2 linked regions of the Styela clava genome follow. The protein of the gene in region 1 purifies or fractionates together with the protein of each later gene. This does not show direct contact. Links are inferred from orthologs where the notes say so. Each region holds a gene or a part of one and is shown in the gene's direction. Other genes may lie near its edges.

Region 1 (7,928 bases):
TTCTCCAAATTTTACCAAGGAATCATTATTTGACTAGTAGAATTGCCATTATTGCCGATTTATTGAAAAAATATTTAAACTCCAAATAACTGTGGCGTACCAAAATTGATATCACCACGCAGGTTCTTTCTGCCAGCTTATTGGACACTGAAGTTGCACTAGATGTCAATCACGAAATAATCTTCTTGCGGTTCCAATTACAGCAGAGTAACTAAGTTAACTAACTAGATTAATTATACACCTGTAAGAACTTAATACAACCAAATACTCCAATAAGAAATACAATAAACAAATAAAAACACAGTACAAATACCGTAGGATACATACGTAACACAAGATACGGAATTGGTCTATGACGTCACAGTCATGAACTATTTACTTATAATGGGATACAAAAACCGGGTAAAACATACCTAGATATACATAAGAATAACTAGTATGACACTAAAGATACAACACAAATCCTACCTTAGCGACAAACACGTAATATACATGGAAATACGCATAGACATATGGAAATCACACAGGAAATAAACTGCGAAAATAGACTAGTTACGGAAGTTTTAAATACAAGTTAACTAGTGAACAGAGCTATGCCAAACTGGTGAAATAGTAAACCTGTACTACTAATATCATTTTGCAACAATAATTACACAAATTACCGGCAATAAAACGCTATAACAATAACCTAATACACAGAGAAATATCTACACTGCCGGCAGTCTGACAAACCAAGTGAAAGAGAAAGTTACACAGTTGCTCACTAGTGACTCAAGTGGTAAGAATAAATATGGGCATACAGAATAAAACAGAGTTATAGACGTGGTCGTCTCATAACATTAAAATTCATGCAATGACTTTGCCGGGTTTTCATTCAATATTTAATACGAAAATAAAAAAGGCACAATAAAAAAATAAAGTCATAAGAAGGTCAACTATTTTCTTCATAGATATCCGCATTCCGGCATTAGAAATGGTAATTTTGTTAGCTTGAAATTGGGAAGCGCGTGATGGGCGATGCGTTCGAAGATCTCGTAGTACCCGTGCGGCCGCGCATGTTTAACAATAATTTGAGGTGCTCCGAAGGCGCTCTCGTGTACCCTATTGTAAGATAACTCTTATAATATTGGTAACTATTAACCATGTTTTCAGGCTCGACTATCGCACTTTTCCGAAATGATAATTTTGTAAGACGGGGACAATCGGGTTTCTTTCCTCTATTCTGATATTCTTTGGTTTTCATTATTTTATAGCAAAATATAAGATGGGAACTGGAACTGAATTGGAGTCGGGATCGAAATTGTTTACAACTCAGAGACCAGTGAAAATGTTTTTAGGTCACATACGTCTTGGACTAAAACTTGGAAAACCGGACAAACAGGATTGAATACAGACTAGCTTTTATATCTTTTATACATTGGAGCTGCTTCGATAAAAATTGCGTTGATCACTTGTAACACGTGATTGAAATAAGGGACTTCGAGGAAACAGAAATAATCGACTTAGCTGCCGACACTGGATTGGTCAGTAAATTCATGCGAGAGAAACAATTCATAGGAACAATCGATGTTCAACACAACAAGATGGAAGCTCCGGAATGTTGGACATTGCAAAGAATAAAAACATTTACTCCAATTTCTACGAATTCGAACCAATTTTGCAACAAGAGAAGCAACGCCCGAAACTAGTTTTCGTGTTTTTATGTTTGTTGTTTACTTTTTAGTTTTATTTGTTTACAAAAAACAGCAGCTAATCAATTAAATATTATTATTGGTTTTCGCATTTCGGCACAGGCACCGTCACATAACTTCTAAATGTTTTTGTATTTATCACGACTTTCACTCATCAAAATATTTACAACATGACAAGTAAGCTTTGCCCGTGAAATTTATTTTCTCGTGATTATGTACTCTGTTCTTTAATTTATTCTAGTATGATTGTCTTGGTGTGTTTCACGTGTGTGAATGTGGGTGAATGGGCATAATCGCTGGTTACAGCGTTCGTTATAAACCTTTATATAGGTTTTGCCCACTTTCCCGATCTTTCAGTTGACCTTGTCTGTGTTCTTTTTATTTGTGTTGTAGACGAAAGATCGAAATAAAATTGTATTGTATTGTATTGTAAAATGGCTTTATGAGTAAAAAAGATTTTTGTTTTGTGATATGTGTTCCGCGAATATTTGAAGAGCTCGTTAGTGTGCCGCGATAAATAAAATGTTGGTAACCACTGCTGTATATGAATATCTGACTATTGCATTCTGTCGCAGTGAATGTACCACACACGTTTCAGTCTTTTCAAGTAGCCACGTCCGCATCCGACGACGGTCCGAACAAAAAAAAAACGATTTCCTCAAAAATCAAATCGGGACGAATCATCTAAGCCAGGGGTCGGCAACCTTTTGTCGCTCGCAGGCCAAAATTAAAGGTTGCAAGTCATTGGCGGGTCGCACATATTTTAAAAAAGTTGAAAACCAAACGGATGATACTTTTTATAATAAAAATCAAGCAGTGATACATCTATCGAATAGAATATAGATTTATTTCCTCACTGCATTTCATGAAATTACATTTGAATATTTTCGGCGCCATTGAAGCCTTTGCACTTAGCATCAATTTTTCTGCGTTTTGTTGCCATTTGTCTAATTATAATTAATTAAATTATATGCTCATTAAACTAGTAGTAGTGAATTATATACTTGTTAGGTTATAATACAATTTAGTCTAAAGAATATAATTGTCAAAACGGCTGTTTCGTAACTATAATTCAGTGAATATATTGGTCGTAGGTTGCCGACCCCTAATCTAAGCTCTCAACAAGCGACATTGCGCTTAGATCCAAGATCTATATCTTCACCGAATACAAGCACGCAACGATCAACAGTTGTTACAGTAGGTATCCGAAATTTAAGTTACTTTTATATTACTTACATCCGGAAAAAAGTCCTTCTAGGACACCCATGGTCATTTCTGTTACAGTCGCAAGCTTGCGAATTTTATTTCAGGTTTAGGCTGTTGATAAACGAGAACGATGCATTTCTTATTTTTAACGTCCACTCCGGATTTCAGAACTCGGAGTTATCTGGAACTCCAGACACTCCACCAAACCGCTGATTGACGTTTCTGATTCTTGACGTGTCTCTCAGCAAGTGCTTGAGGAATGAAGCGCGTTGTGGTTTATGTTTTTCTTGTTAGTGTATCACTGTTTCATATATAAACCTGCCTTTAACAAACTGATTAGTTCGATCTGAATATAAAATTCCCACTGGCAGACTGGTGTTGAAATTCAATCTGAGTATAAAAGAGGATGAATGGTATTCATAAAAGCTAGGTAGCCTACGGTAGCCGGTACCGGTAGCGTCCAGCGCGAGTTTGCATTTCAGCTTTTTTTTTAATTTAGGCGGTACGGTACCGATTTACCGTACCTTATTTCATTATTCGGCGAGGGACCTGCCTAATTGTAGGTTGTGTAGAATTTCATTTCGCACCCGTTTTTGTTTTTTCAAAAGCTGAAATGACTGACTTAATCATGAATAATTTCAGACCTATTCATGTTTGGTGTTATTCAGTTATTCAAGCAGTCCCAGTGGTAACTTAGTATATTCATTTATGCCAGAGTGGTATCTGATTTTATGTTTTCATTGATTACTACATTATCAGGTTTTAGTCTCTAAAAGTTCATAATAATAGAATATAAAGATGACAAAAATCGAAACTTGGGAAGAGTTTGCAAAAGCTGCTGAAAGACTTTATCAAAGTGATCCCTTCAATGTCAGATACTCAATAAAATACAGACACTGCAACGGAAATCTTGTGATCACAGTAACAGACGATCAAATAAGACTGCAGTATGAAACAGAACATGCTAACGATGTAAAAAAGATTGAAAAATTAACAGCAAATTTTTTAAGGATGATGGTGCACTAAATTGATACCTTATTTGGTCGAGTTTGCTGGTGATTGATTGGCATTTTTTAATTGGAGATTTATTGCTTATCATTTTTGAAGCACTATTGGATAAGAGTGTTGTAAGACAATATTAGAATCAGAGCGTTAAACTGTTGTTATTAATGCGCTAATGTACGTTTCTTGTTTAGTATAATTCTGAACAGTCGAATTGGACTTGGCAATGCTGCTTATTCTGCTCACACATCGTTGCGTTTGTTTTACAATTCTGTCTTGGTGGCATTAGACCGTTTGTATGTGCATTTTTTTCTTTGCAGATTATATGTTTCATGAAATCGAAAAAAGACTGATGTTCTTGATAGCTTAATACTTTATTTGGAAAAAGTTATTAATTGAAATATTAGTAATTATATTCCTATTACAATATATTTTCTGATATTTCTTTTTTTCGACCAATTTATGTCAATGCGTGCCTTTTCGATATTCTAAATTTAAAACAATTGTTAATTTGTTTTATGTTTATGAATCAATTTCTGTGGGACAGGATGTATGTGTCATTAAATGTGTGATAAAACTGCTTGCATCGCTGCAAAGTTTTTTAACGACCACATTCAGAGTTTTTTTCGATATGCAAGATTAACTAGCTTATACAACTATATTGTCAATTTTGTGGGATATATTTTAGATAAGATTTGTTGCCTTAAATAAAAATGTACGTTCATGAAGACTAAATTTTTTTTTCGAATGCAAACGGAATTTTTCGATATCATATGATTTGTTTATTTGGTGCTCCCGAAGTATGCGAACCAAGATGGCGGACATCGGAACGTAACATGGGTAACAGGTTAGGGTTAAGCGATAATTTTTTTCCAATTTTCCTTATTTTAGTCCTATTATCAGTTTGAAGACTAGCCAAGAGCCTCCCGTAGTATTTATACCTAAAATTATGGCCTAACCCTAACATAGTACTCATATTACATTCCGATGTCCGCCATCTTGGTTCGCATACTTCGGGAGCCCCGTTTATTTAAATTATGAGCGGACTTTATGAACGCTCTCTGTACTGGATATCTTGTTTTGGATTTGTGATGTGCATGATGGAACTTTGTCTTTATTTTATGTTGGTTTAGAACTGTTTTATGTTGAAATAAGTAATATGTGTAAATTTGAATTTTAGTTTGTTTCGCAATGTAGTGCATAAATCTTTTCTTAGTCCTAAAAATGATGCCCAGATGAGCATGATTGAACTTATATCATTATTGTTATTATTTTTGCTGATTTGATTAAGGAAGGATTTTAGTAATGAATTGACTGAATATTTTGTGTAATTTGATTTTCAGTTGAATTATATATTGTATAAATATTAATTTTTGGCCTAAGAATGGCCGCTGAGGTGGAGGATGCAACTGTGGAAGTAGAAGATGAATTTGTGGAGGAACAAATTGATCTGAAAAATATTAATCCCAATGTGATGATGGCTTCTTACTATGCAGGTGAGTAATGTGATGTTGCAGTATGATTTTGTTGGCTTCAAAGCCACATGATAGTATGATAACGTAGGTAAAGAAGTTATTAAATTATACGTGGATTGCTCAGATATGAAAATTAATTCCAAACAGCAGTCTGACTTAGAAGAAACCTTGTCGAACGGTTTTCAATGCATGGATCAAAAATTATATTTTTTGGAGGTGGACTTATTGCATATTTTTCACAAGTCTCATAATTCTTGGTTGGTAGTTTTGATCCACTTATATCAGGGCTGAGACGATTTCTGGTACCCCATATTTTGGGCAAAATATGCAAAACATGGATTTGCATCATCAAAAAACGTTTGTAATACGGCAAATCTTTTAATAGTTTAAAGAGGTAGCAGTGTTGAACACCTCTTATAAATTTGTACCATCATTTTGAAAATAATAATTTTCACTTTTTGTATTTAGTAACATCATTTCTTGCCACATATGGATGGACTCTCATGGTAATTGCTGTTCTACTTATAATATTATGGAGTAACATTGAGAAAAAAGTCAAGAAAATGATTGAAAGAGCAAAAGAACGAAATGATCCCGTGGAAAATGGTAAGTCGACTTGCAATATTAAAAATGATCTTGTATAATATAGAACAGCGTTTTTCAAACTTTTTTGGCCCCGGAGCGTATTTTATCTTGCCTCGCGGAACGCCAAGAAATTAGAAAATAAAATTAATGGATAGTTTTCAAATAATTTATTCTATGTTGAAATTAAAATGTTTGCTGTTAATTTGACTCTTAGAAAGTCAACCATATTGAATGGTTAATGAAAACTCCATGATTTTTAGACTGGCGCTAGGCCTATCTGCCTTTTTAGATAGCAGGGCCCTTTCCGCCTTTTTGGAGGCAAATTTACTATCCAGAGTTGCCGAAATGAAACCGAGTTTGGCATGACGACCAATTAAGTCGCAATTTCGATTCCTGTTCCACGGAACGCTTCGAAGAAGCTCTCAGAACGCAGTCAGAGAAGCGCTGATATAGAATATTACAAGAGAAATTTCTTTAATTGAGGTCACTCAAACTCACTCAAATGTGAAAGAAACACAACATATTAGACAAGTTACAGGCGGCCATCGAGATACGAGTAGCTACTGATACTATATTTGAGATGCATTGTGCCGATTGACCTATGGTGACGCCTTTTTTTACTTGAGAAACCCGAATATTATAAAGATTTCACAATCATGCATGGAGACTATAGAATATTTCAAAGAAGGTTGTGTAGCTCCCTATTAAAAACTATATTCTTCAATTATTTCAAATATTTTTTTGCTACTTAGATCCTGAAGTTCTGGCTAAAAGAGCTGAAGCAATGGAACTTGCCAGACAAAGAATGCAGGAAAAAGCATCTGCAATTCTAAGAAGGGAGGCAGAGAGAAGGCAAGAGGTGGATAAATTTTATTGTTCATTCCTTAGTATAATATTGATGATCGATTCATATTGCCAGTCAAATAATTATGCTTGAATTAGTAGCAATTTCTAAGTACAGGGAGTCCACGACTTACGATGTTGTTCCGTTCTCGAGACGCGGTGTAACCCCAATTTCAGTGTAAGTCTGAACATTATACTGTACATTGCATAAATTACTCTACACATATCGTACTGTATTGTAAAGCATGGTACTGTAATTAAATGTACAAATAATGCAGAAAAGTGCTTTATTAAAAAATACAGAAAACAATTTCATATCCCATGAATAAAAGCAAATACTGTACAGTACAGTATCATTTTTTATATTTTTAATGGCATGGTTTGTAACCTCGGAACAGCATTATGGAGTGCGCATTCGCAACCTCGAAACAGCGTAAGTCGCGAATGTCGTAACCCGAGACCTCCCTGTATGGGGATTTAACAGACTTCTTTTCAGAATCCTTTCTTTTTAATTTGTAAACATTTTGGAGTTTTGAAATAAACTGCTGCCCATTGCTCGAAAAAACTCGATTTATTTTATTTGGCATTTATTTATCTTTTTCCTTGATTGAGAGGCCTTAGTAGTCCATGATTAAGTCAACATAATAGGTTTTCTTCTCCGTTGCTACTTCCCATTGCTTGAGACAACTCAAAATTGCATTCACCAGTGTATTTTGTGTATTGAGAGGCCATGATTAAGCCCACACAATGGTTTTCTGCACCATAAATTTGGATTTCTTTGTAAGCTTGCTAATTTGTGTATATTATGCTAGTGCAGTTGATTAAAAGTAGAGATAGATATATTTTATAAGGTACCATCACCATATGAATTGCCATGATGGTGGAACAATATTGGTATTGGGATGCCAAATAGATAGTAGGTTTTCTTTCAGAGCTGTATTAGGCCTTGGTTTTGCCCTTATAGAATTTGCTACCAACCATCTAAGCCGGCTCATTAACAGGCGCTCCAAAACTTTGTGTACCAATTTGGGGGTACTGGTAACTACGGTAATTTTGTTGGCCTATTTTATATAATATTGTGTAAAGGGACTGAAACCTATGGGCAGGGGGTATATTCACTTGGCTA
Region 2 (8,022 bases), on another chromosome or scaffold:
GTGAAATGGCCACAACGCCGTAATTTTTTTACCAATCATAATTTAATTTTGTGCTTTTGAATGGTTTTTATTACCATTGGATAATTTTGCAAATAAAAATAAAATAAAAATGTTGTCTACATTTCACTTTATTCAAGAAAATGAAGACCAGCAAGAACATGAAGAGAATTCAGAGCATGAATATGCTGAAATCGGTCTTTCAGGTGAATATCTGGCTTGTCCCATATTGTCAGGAATATCTTATCCATCTATGTGTAATAAAATTGGGCATGAAAAAATAAGTCACTTCTGTTTATTGGAGTACTGTCTTAGAATATTCTATACAAGAATCATGCAATGATTGTAACGTTTGATAATTTTTTAAGCAAATGAAGACCAACAAGAACATGAAGAGACTCCAGAGCATGACTATACTGAAATCAGTCTTTCAGGTGAATATCTGGCTCGTCCCATTTTATCAGGAACATTTTTGTTTGCTTATACCAATAAATATGCACATTATTTAAAATATTTTACAGCAAGTTGTTTTTGGTGAATTGATTTGATAAAGCGAGGGATATTACTTCTTACCCATGTGTAATAATATTGGATATGAATAAGCCATTGCTATTAATAATAATGAAGTGATAAAGCATATTGTAGAATATTTTATACTCCGTACGAAGAATGCACTCTCAGCGAGAAAATTTTTACCAACATATAGGTGTATCGAATACTGAAGAAATTGGCACAGAAAGTACTGAAAGCCAGAAAAGTATAGAAGAACATTTGCCTGAATCTGAAGAAAAAGGAGGTACTGCATCAGAGCAGGTAAATTTTGAAGCGAGTATTGTTAGTGATATACAAAAAAACTTCGGCTAATTAATCTACCCCGCAAACAAGACAAAGCCTATTTTTAGCAATAAAAAAGAGGACTTTTCCATATAGTCCTCCAGTAAGACTAAATCATGTTTGAGAAGACGAAAAATAAGCCGACCTCAGAAAAAATAAAATCAGCTGGGAAATACGGCATGTATGGGAAGAAAATTTGGGTAACCTTCTCTTCTTGTGGATAATGAGAAGTACTTGCTAACCACTAATTAATCACTTTTATTCTGTCAGCCATCCAGTTCCATGGAATACCAAATCAATAAGGACGGAAGCATTGAAATTTGATAGTTTTAGAATACACTGAGAGTCTCAGCAAATTGGAATATACTTTTGTTCGCCTATATTTGGATGGAACATACCGTAGTGTGCTCTATCTGTTACCCATTTGTAATTTATATATCATACTTTTCATTATTTGTGTGATTGTGTTCACTTTTATGCACTTATTTGTATATAAAACATTTTTGACTTCTCTCCTTTTCCTGGCAGATGTTGTCACCACTCACCAGATTTAAACATTATGGTTATACTCTATTTTCTGTTATAAATGGCCAGGTATATCAGTCTTGACTACCCAGGCTTACCCTAATGTCTGGTTGAAGCATACTGCATGTATGAACATTGAAAAACCTGGCTTTTCATATATTTTCTCCTTTACATCTACATTTTTTTTCTCGTCTCTCTGCATACAATCAAATATTTTATTATCTTTTCAATATTGAGACAATTGTTTGTATATTTGTTCAAATTCAAGATGAAATCGTATTTTATTAACGTATGTATACATGTGTGTTGGAAATTTTATTCCGTTTGTTGGCCCAGTATGTATGAAAATCCTAAATATAATGCCATTAGAATGCTACAAGGTTTGTGGAGTCCAGAGCATACATAACAAGGATTGTCCAGGTACCTTAACGAGTTTTTTGACCGGTCAATAGACTAAACGATTAATGCAGGTAAGCTATATAGACCATGATTGGGTTATCTATTTTATATGTAAACGATGTCTCTTTTAAATTAGTTTTGAACTGGTTATAAATCAATTGATTTAGGGCAGTGGTGTGCAACCAAATTCGCCTACAATGAAAAAAAGTGTGCGGCCCACGATGGAGCGCTAATTTTTGATAATGTCCGGCCCATGAATTTTCAATTTAGTTAAATCTGGTTCGTGCCATTAATTTCAAACTCTTAGCGTTTTAAGCCTAAACCCGAGTCCAATTAATTTATCTATGGCACAACCATTTTCGTGTTTTAACTACTAGAAAGCCTTTGTTAATCAAAGGTACTCTACATACAGCCTGTGGTTTCACCCAGATATTTGTATCTGGCCCTCCTGTATGAATGAATGAAATTTAGAGTGTAAAAGCCCCCCTTTCAAATTAAAAAATGATTCTATTCCAAGATAACCCGCAATAGCTTAGTTGACATTCGAATGCACTCATTCGCTATTTTATTCTACTTTCTTCACTGTAATTACATCTTTCCAATCAATCAAATAATTTCAGTTTATTGCTTTGGTGTACAGTACAGCAGCTATTTTCTGATGACATTGAATATATATAACATGAAAAAAGAGCTTATTTGGTGTCATTTTCTCTTAGTTATCAGGCTAGGAAAAGGTTATTAAGAATACAAAAATACAAAGTAAAAAACCAGAAAAAAAAATCAAGCCATTCTGCCAACCAAGTGTAGTAGGGATGACTAGAAGAGAACAGATTAGGCACTTGTTCAATTCTGAACAAATGTCTGTGCCCAGCCCTTGTGCTAGTGCTAGTAATTTTAAATTCTATTGTTTTATGTAGTTGCATTTAAACTGCAGAATTATGCTAATGTGAGATTCCATCCGTTATTTAAAAGGTGGACAAATTTGATCTACTATGCCAGCATGACTACGACCATTGTAGAAAAAATAGTTATTATGTGGAGCATCTCGTTGTGATGCAGCTTTTATGATTTCTTGGCCCAATACCCCACCAGTTATCGCACAAATTGGATTCAGTTCGGAAATACAAAATTGAGGAAATTCTTCAGGAATGTAAGTTTCTGAAACATTTGAATCCTTGAGAACCTCATTTCTCAGTTCTAGGAGTAAATTTTGATCTTCTTTGCCGAATGTTGGACTTCGACCCGTCTTTTCCTTGAATTTGTCAATTACTTTAATGATAAAAAAAATATATGATGATTGTCGCATCATTCTCCTTGATCTTGTTGACCAATCCTCAGTTAAAGATTCTTCAAGGCTACAAAATTCATCTGTAACTTTTACAAGAATCTTTTCTTCTTCTTTTTTGCCCTTTTCATCTAGTTTGCTCTTTTTTGCTTCTGGTTCTCCATCAAGATCATACTTTATCTCTTTTTTCACTTCTTCACGCACAAAATCATGCATCCCCAAATCAGCAAAGCAATATCCATAAAATCCGAAAACATCACCACAAAAGAATTTGATTCCAGATGATCTGCATATTAAATTAATTCTTATCCTTTCTTCGAATGGTACCTCCGTTAAACAAACTATATCAAACTCTCGAAAAAAATCATCCGGTTTATCCGAAATTGGCATCTTATCGCATGATACGATTACATTTGGATTGAGCGGCTGTGTTCGGGCCATTGATGCTTCTGCTCTATTTTTTCCCATGTCTAAATGAGTTACAAGAAGCTGAGAACCCATATCAGACTCTGAAACTACTTTGTCATCAAGCATTGTCAAAGCCTTTACACCTGCAAGTACAACATTTTTGACCACCTCAGAAGCAAGTCCACCGATTCCAACAACAAGAACTTTAGCTTGACGAAGACGTTTTTGTGCATCAAGTCCCCACAATCGAATTTGGCGATCATATTGTGCAAACTCCTCGGCAGTAATATCAGCTTCTTTTTCCATCATTACAATGTTGAATATTTGATAGAATTAAGATTTTAAAAGATTACTACCTAAATAAAAAACATTTGCAGTACAATATCATGTTTCAAGAAATGAAGTCGAAGAAAAAATTGACATGAGCATGAATAATATATCGTTCGAATTAGGTGAGACAAGAGAAATGACAAAAATAAAGTTGTTTCAAAAAAAGTTTCCCTGCCTGATCGGGGCTACATTTTGATAAAATAACTCAAAATGAATTGTTTTTAAAGCTGTGCTTAGTGGAGTTGTACTGACAAGAATTACTGATTTGATTCAATCCATTTCAACAATTAAAACATGACAAATTTATAAAACAGGATGGCTTCAAAATTGAAAATTTCGAAACACATTCATCTATAAACGCAAGCCACGATGGATAGATAGCCACAATTATTTAACCTATTACAATAGAAAATATTAGGAACATATCTCTATTTGTAAATCATTTTAATTCTGTAATTATGGACCTACATTTATTAGCAGTTTGGATATGAAAAATAATACTTGATTGAATAAAATAGTTTAATTTCATATGGACTTCTTGTCTAGAGCTTTATTCATAGTGAAATCAAATTAATTTCATCAAGATAGTAATATCATTTCAAATTAAATACAAAGCATTGCAGTATTTCCTGTGAAATATTTCAGTTTTAAACTTCTCAAACAACTAAATATTAAAACTAGTAAGAACATGGCAGTTCATGCTTCATAACACTAGTCAATTTTGAGGTGGGTATGACATGTGTCTCAGATCTGCAGATGTCAGTTTCCAAGCGCTTTCCAATTAAATCACACTTCAATCAACATTTGGACGATCAGGAGGTGGTCCACAAGGTTGGAACATTCTTTCTAACACATTAAATCGAACTCGAGCTCTTGTTTCGTTTTCCGCAATAGCAATGTGACTTAGAAGATCCGGGTGACCAATGTAAGAAGCAAGACTATCACGATGTTGATTTGTCAACCATTCCCATTTTGTAGTGTCAGAGTGTCCAGTACCGACATATTTCGACTGCAAATGCTCCATTTGAGAAAATATATTATATCGATCCCCCATTTTGATTGATATTTTGTCTCTGTACACTCACGAAATACTTATTCTCACTACAAACAACCACCAAATGCCAAAAGAAACCCAAAGTACGGTAATCCTTCCTGGATCTGATCACAAGGTGGTGCACATGTGTCTGTCAATATATTTGTCAAGTCATACTACGTCATTATATCTACATTATTGTGCATAATTTGAGACACGTCTGCAAAGAAGAACTTGTTGTTTGCTGGTTTTTAAAGTTTTCATTGATATTTTGTCAGTTTGTCGTGAGTATTAGGTGTAGTTTTATAATAAGGGATATTCAAAGATGGCGTCTAATGATATTGGAGACTGGTATCGTGGAATACCGAGAATAACTCGTTATTGGTAAGTTACCGGTACGTAAATTTTTTTACCAACTGACTGTAGTTACACTCCAATCAGACAATACAGGTAGGCTACACAGGTACAGTTTACACACAGTCTTTGGGTCCAACAGTCAGGTATTCATTATATAGTACTGTGCCTATCTACCAGTACCTAGCTTCATACCTCATGTACTTCCAACATCGGCGCGGCGGTGTGGCTCAATGGGTTAAGCATTAGGAATACGCTCGCCACCGCACCTCTAATTACTCTGCGTGGGTTCGCATCCCATGCAGAGATGGTTATGTGCGAGAGGATTGCTGGACTCCTCGCCGTCGTTGGGTGGTTCACGTAACCGCTGGTCGGTTACGGCTTCCTCCACCACCAAGTCCATGCTTCCGAAAACAAACAATACAGTATAACTAACTAATCCCATACCCGACTTGGAATGGGACTCTCGTCTAACCGGACGAGAGGCCGTGGTTTGCCATATGGATAAGCCGTCTTATCGGCTTTCCTCTCCCCCGGGATAAATATGTAAATCCTATCCTATCCACTGTAGTACTGATGTTCTGTAATATACCATTATTTTACACACATTCTCTTTTCAGGTTCAGTGCATCAGTTGTAGTTCCACTTGTGGCCAAATTTAACATTATTAATGGAATGCATTTGATCTTGGATTGGTACAGTTTATTCAGTAGATTTCAGGTAATTTGTTATATATTTTAATACTAATTTTTGATGTATAGAAATGTTAAAATATTGACCATAATTATACTTTCTTTCACTCCTTGTTTCAGATATGGCGTCCATTCACTGCTGCTGTTTATTACCCAATAACACCGATGACTGGTTTTCATTATCTCATTATGTTATATTTTTTGTACAGTTATTCAACAAGACTTGAAACTGGTGATTAATTTTCTTACCTAATTTTTTATTACACATCATAATAATCCTTGTTCATCATCTCAATTGTTTTTAGCAGAGGTCACATTTTATATTGCTTTATAAATAATGTTTATTATGACTATTTCTTTTTGGTTCATCCTGGTATATCTTGGTATTACCATTTTGTCGTCTGCTACCAGAAATTATGAAATTAATATTTTAGTTTTATATTTTATCACATGGGAGAGGAAAGCCGATTGGATGACTTAATCACACACGCATTCTTTCTATATTTAATTCATTTATACATTTACATACAGGTATATTTGAAGGGAGACCTGCAGACTATGTTTTCATGCTTGCTTTCACATGGCTTACTACAGTGGTAGGAACTATTTTCATGAATGTAGCCTTGCTCTATACCTGATTGTAGTTGTTGAAATTATAGTAGTAGCCTAACCTTCTTACATTTCTCAAAGCATGAATCGTAAGTGATCTACTTGGCCAAGTATTGAATCACTTTTCGGTTCTGTTCAAATTTACCATATTTCTTATATTCGACAATCGCAATTTATGATGACTGAGTAGTCAATTTATTCTCAAAAAAAGTTGAAAATATCATGTTCCTTATTATTAGGATTTATGCATTCAAATTTTATTGATTATTCAATGTTTCTATGTTTTACATTTTTGGCTTTATTCATGAAAAATTTTAATACATATAAATTCTTGACTTTTTCATTCAAACTTGAAAATTATAATAACTTATTACATTTCATAGGAGCAAATTAAGCCATGCATTTTTTTCATTCTGCCCATCTGAATTAATTTAACCATACCTGTTTTTTTTTAATTCAGGGATTGGCATTGGCTCTGGAAATCAGGGTAAGTTAATTTAATTATGCTTTCATCATTTCAATATGCTTAAAATATCTAGAAGACTAAGACTCACATACTCAGTTTTGGAGTTCATCAAAGTAATCCAACATTATAATGTCACCAGTGCTGAGCATTTATAAGCACGTTAAAAATGATTTTCATTACTTATATATTTATTTTTAGATCATGTTTGATTTACTCATTTTCTCTGCTTTGTACGTTTGGTGTCAAATAAATCGCGATCAAATTGTATCATTCTGGTTTGGAACCAGGTTTAAGGTGAGTTTATTTGTAGAAATTTAGACAATTATAATTGTGTATTGAGTGTCTATTTCATGTTCTGTAAATTTATGATTTCATTCTGACTAAAGATTTTCACACTGTATTCACATAATTTGTACCACTTAAATGTAAATATGCCAATAATATTAAATTGTGCTGTTTGCCTCAAAGCGGCACCATTTTTATACTTGTGGGATAGAATTGCTAGGAGTACTGTAAAAATTTACTCTATTTTCCAGGCCGCTTACTTACCATGGGTTTTGTTTGCATTCAACATGATTATCAGAGGAGGGTAAGTTCTGAATTTTTCATTTCAACTATATTCAAATACTAATTGGTCATACAGAGATATTACATCATTTTGCATTACAGAGGAATGTCGGAACTACTTGGTATATTTGTTGGTCATCTTTACTTCTTTTTGAAATTTAAATATCCTCAAGATTTTGGTGGAAGAGCATTATTGGAAACACCTCAGTTTTTGTGAGTAATGTTTGTTTGTTACGAACATTTGGATGCATTGTCGTCTACCATTTTTATTATCAACTTTTAATGCTTGTGGAATTAAGATTTAAAAATTAGCAGTGTATGAAAAAGGGTATCAGAAATCAGAAACACAAAACGAGTGCAGAATGAATAGTATAACTTGCAGCGAATGATCAATAACTTTTTTTCATTTTTTTGCCACTCTTTATATGACTAAATTGCTAATCTTATTTTATTTACTAGATATAAATACTTTCCCAACATGCGAGGTGCTGTATCAGGGTTTGGTGTTGCACCACAGTCTCGA

What was found. The genes of interacting proteins can lie anywhere in the genome.
Region 2: the proteins of selenoprotein S-like (region 1) and derlin-1-like purify together in Homo sapiens (affinity purification with western blotting; 6 studies listed by BioGRID and IntAct, with this or other methods). This does not show direct contact. The link is inferred for Styela clava from reciprocal best matches to the Homo sapiens genes SELENOS and DERL1.

The regions. Positions count from the first base shown.
Region 1 is NC_135253.1:20,574,066-20,581,993, forward strand, and holds the start of selenoprotein S-like, read left to right. Parts: upstream 1-4,923; 5' UTR 4,924-5,283; coding exon 5,284-5,395; intron 5,396-5,842; coding exon 5,843-5,980; intron 5,981-6,711; coding exon 6,712-6,818; intron 6,819-7,928. UniProt on the Homo sapiens protein: Involved in the degradation process of misfolded endoplasmic reticulum (ER) luminal proteins. Participates in the transfer of misfolded proteins from the ER to the cytosol, where they are destroyed by the proteasome in a ubiquitin-dependent manner.
Region 2 is NC_135262.1:19,155,537-19,163,558, forward strand, and holds the start of derlin-1-like, read left to right. Parts: upstream 1-5,022; 5' UTR 5,023-5,136; coding exon 5,137-5,195; intron 5,196-5,785; coding exon 5,786-5,885; intron 5,886-5,977; coding exon 5,978-6,089; intron 6,090-6,388; coding exon 6,389-6,453; intron 6,454-6,926; coding exon 6,927-6,953; intron 6,954-7,130; coding exon 7,131-7,226; intron 7,227-7,468; coding exon 7,469-7,521; intron 7,522-7,601; coding exon 7,602-7,712; intron 7,713-7,958; coding exon 7,959-8,022. Other genes in the region: putative E3 ubiquitin-protein ligase MGRN1, read left to right, coding at 138-203, 366-431, 704-810, 1,102-1,155; SUMO-activating enzyme subunit 1-like, read right to left, coding at 2,717-3,757; splicing factor 3B subunit 5-like, read right to left, coding at 4,572-4,832. UniProt on the Homo sapiens protein: Functional component of endoplasmic reticulum-associated degradation (ERAD) for misfolded lumenal proteins. Forms homotetramers which encircle a large channel traversing the endoplasmic reticulum (ER) membrane.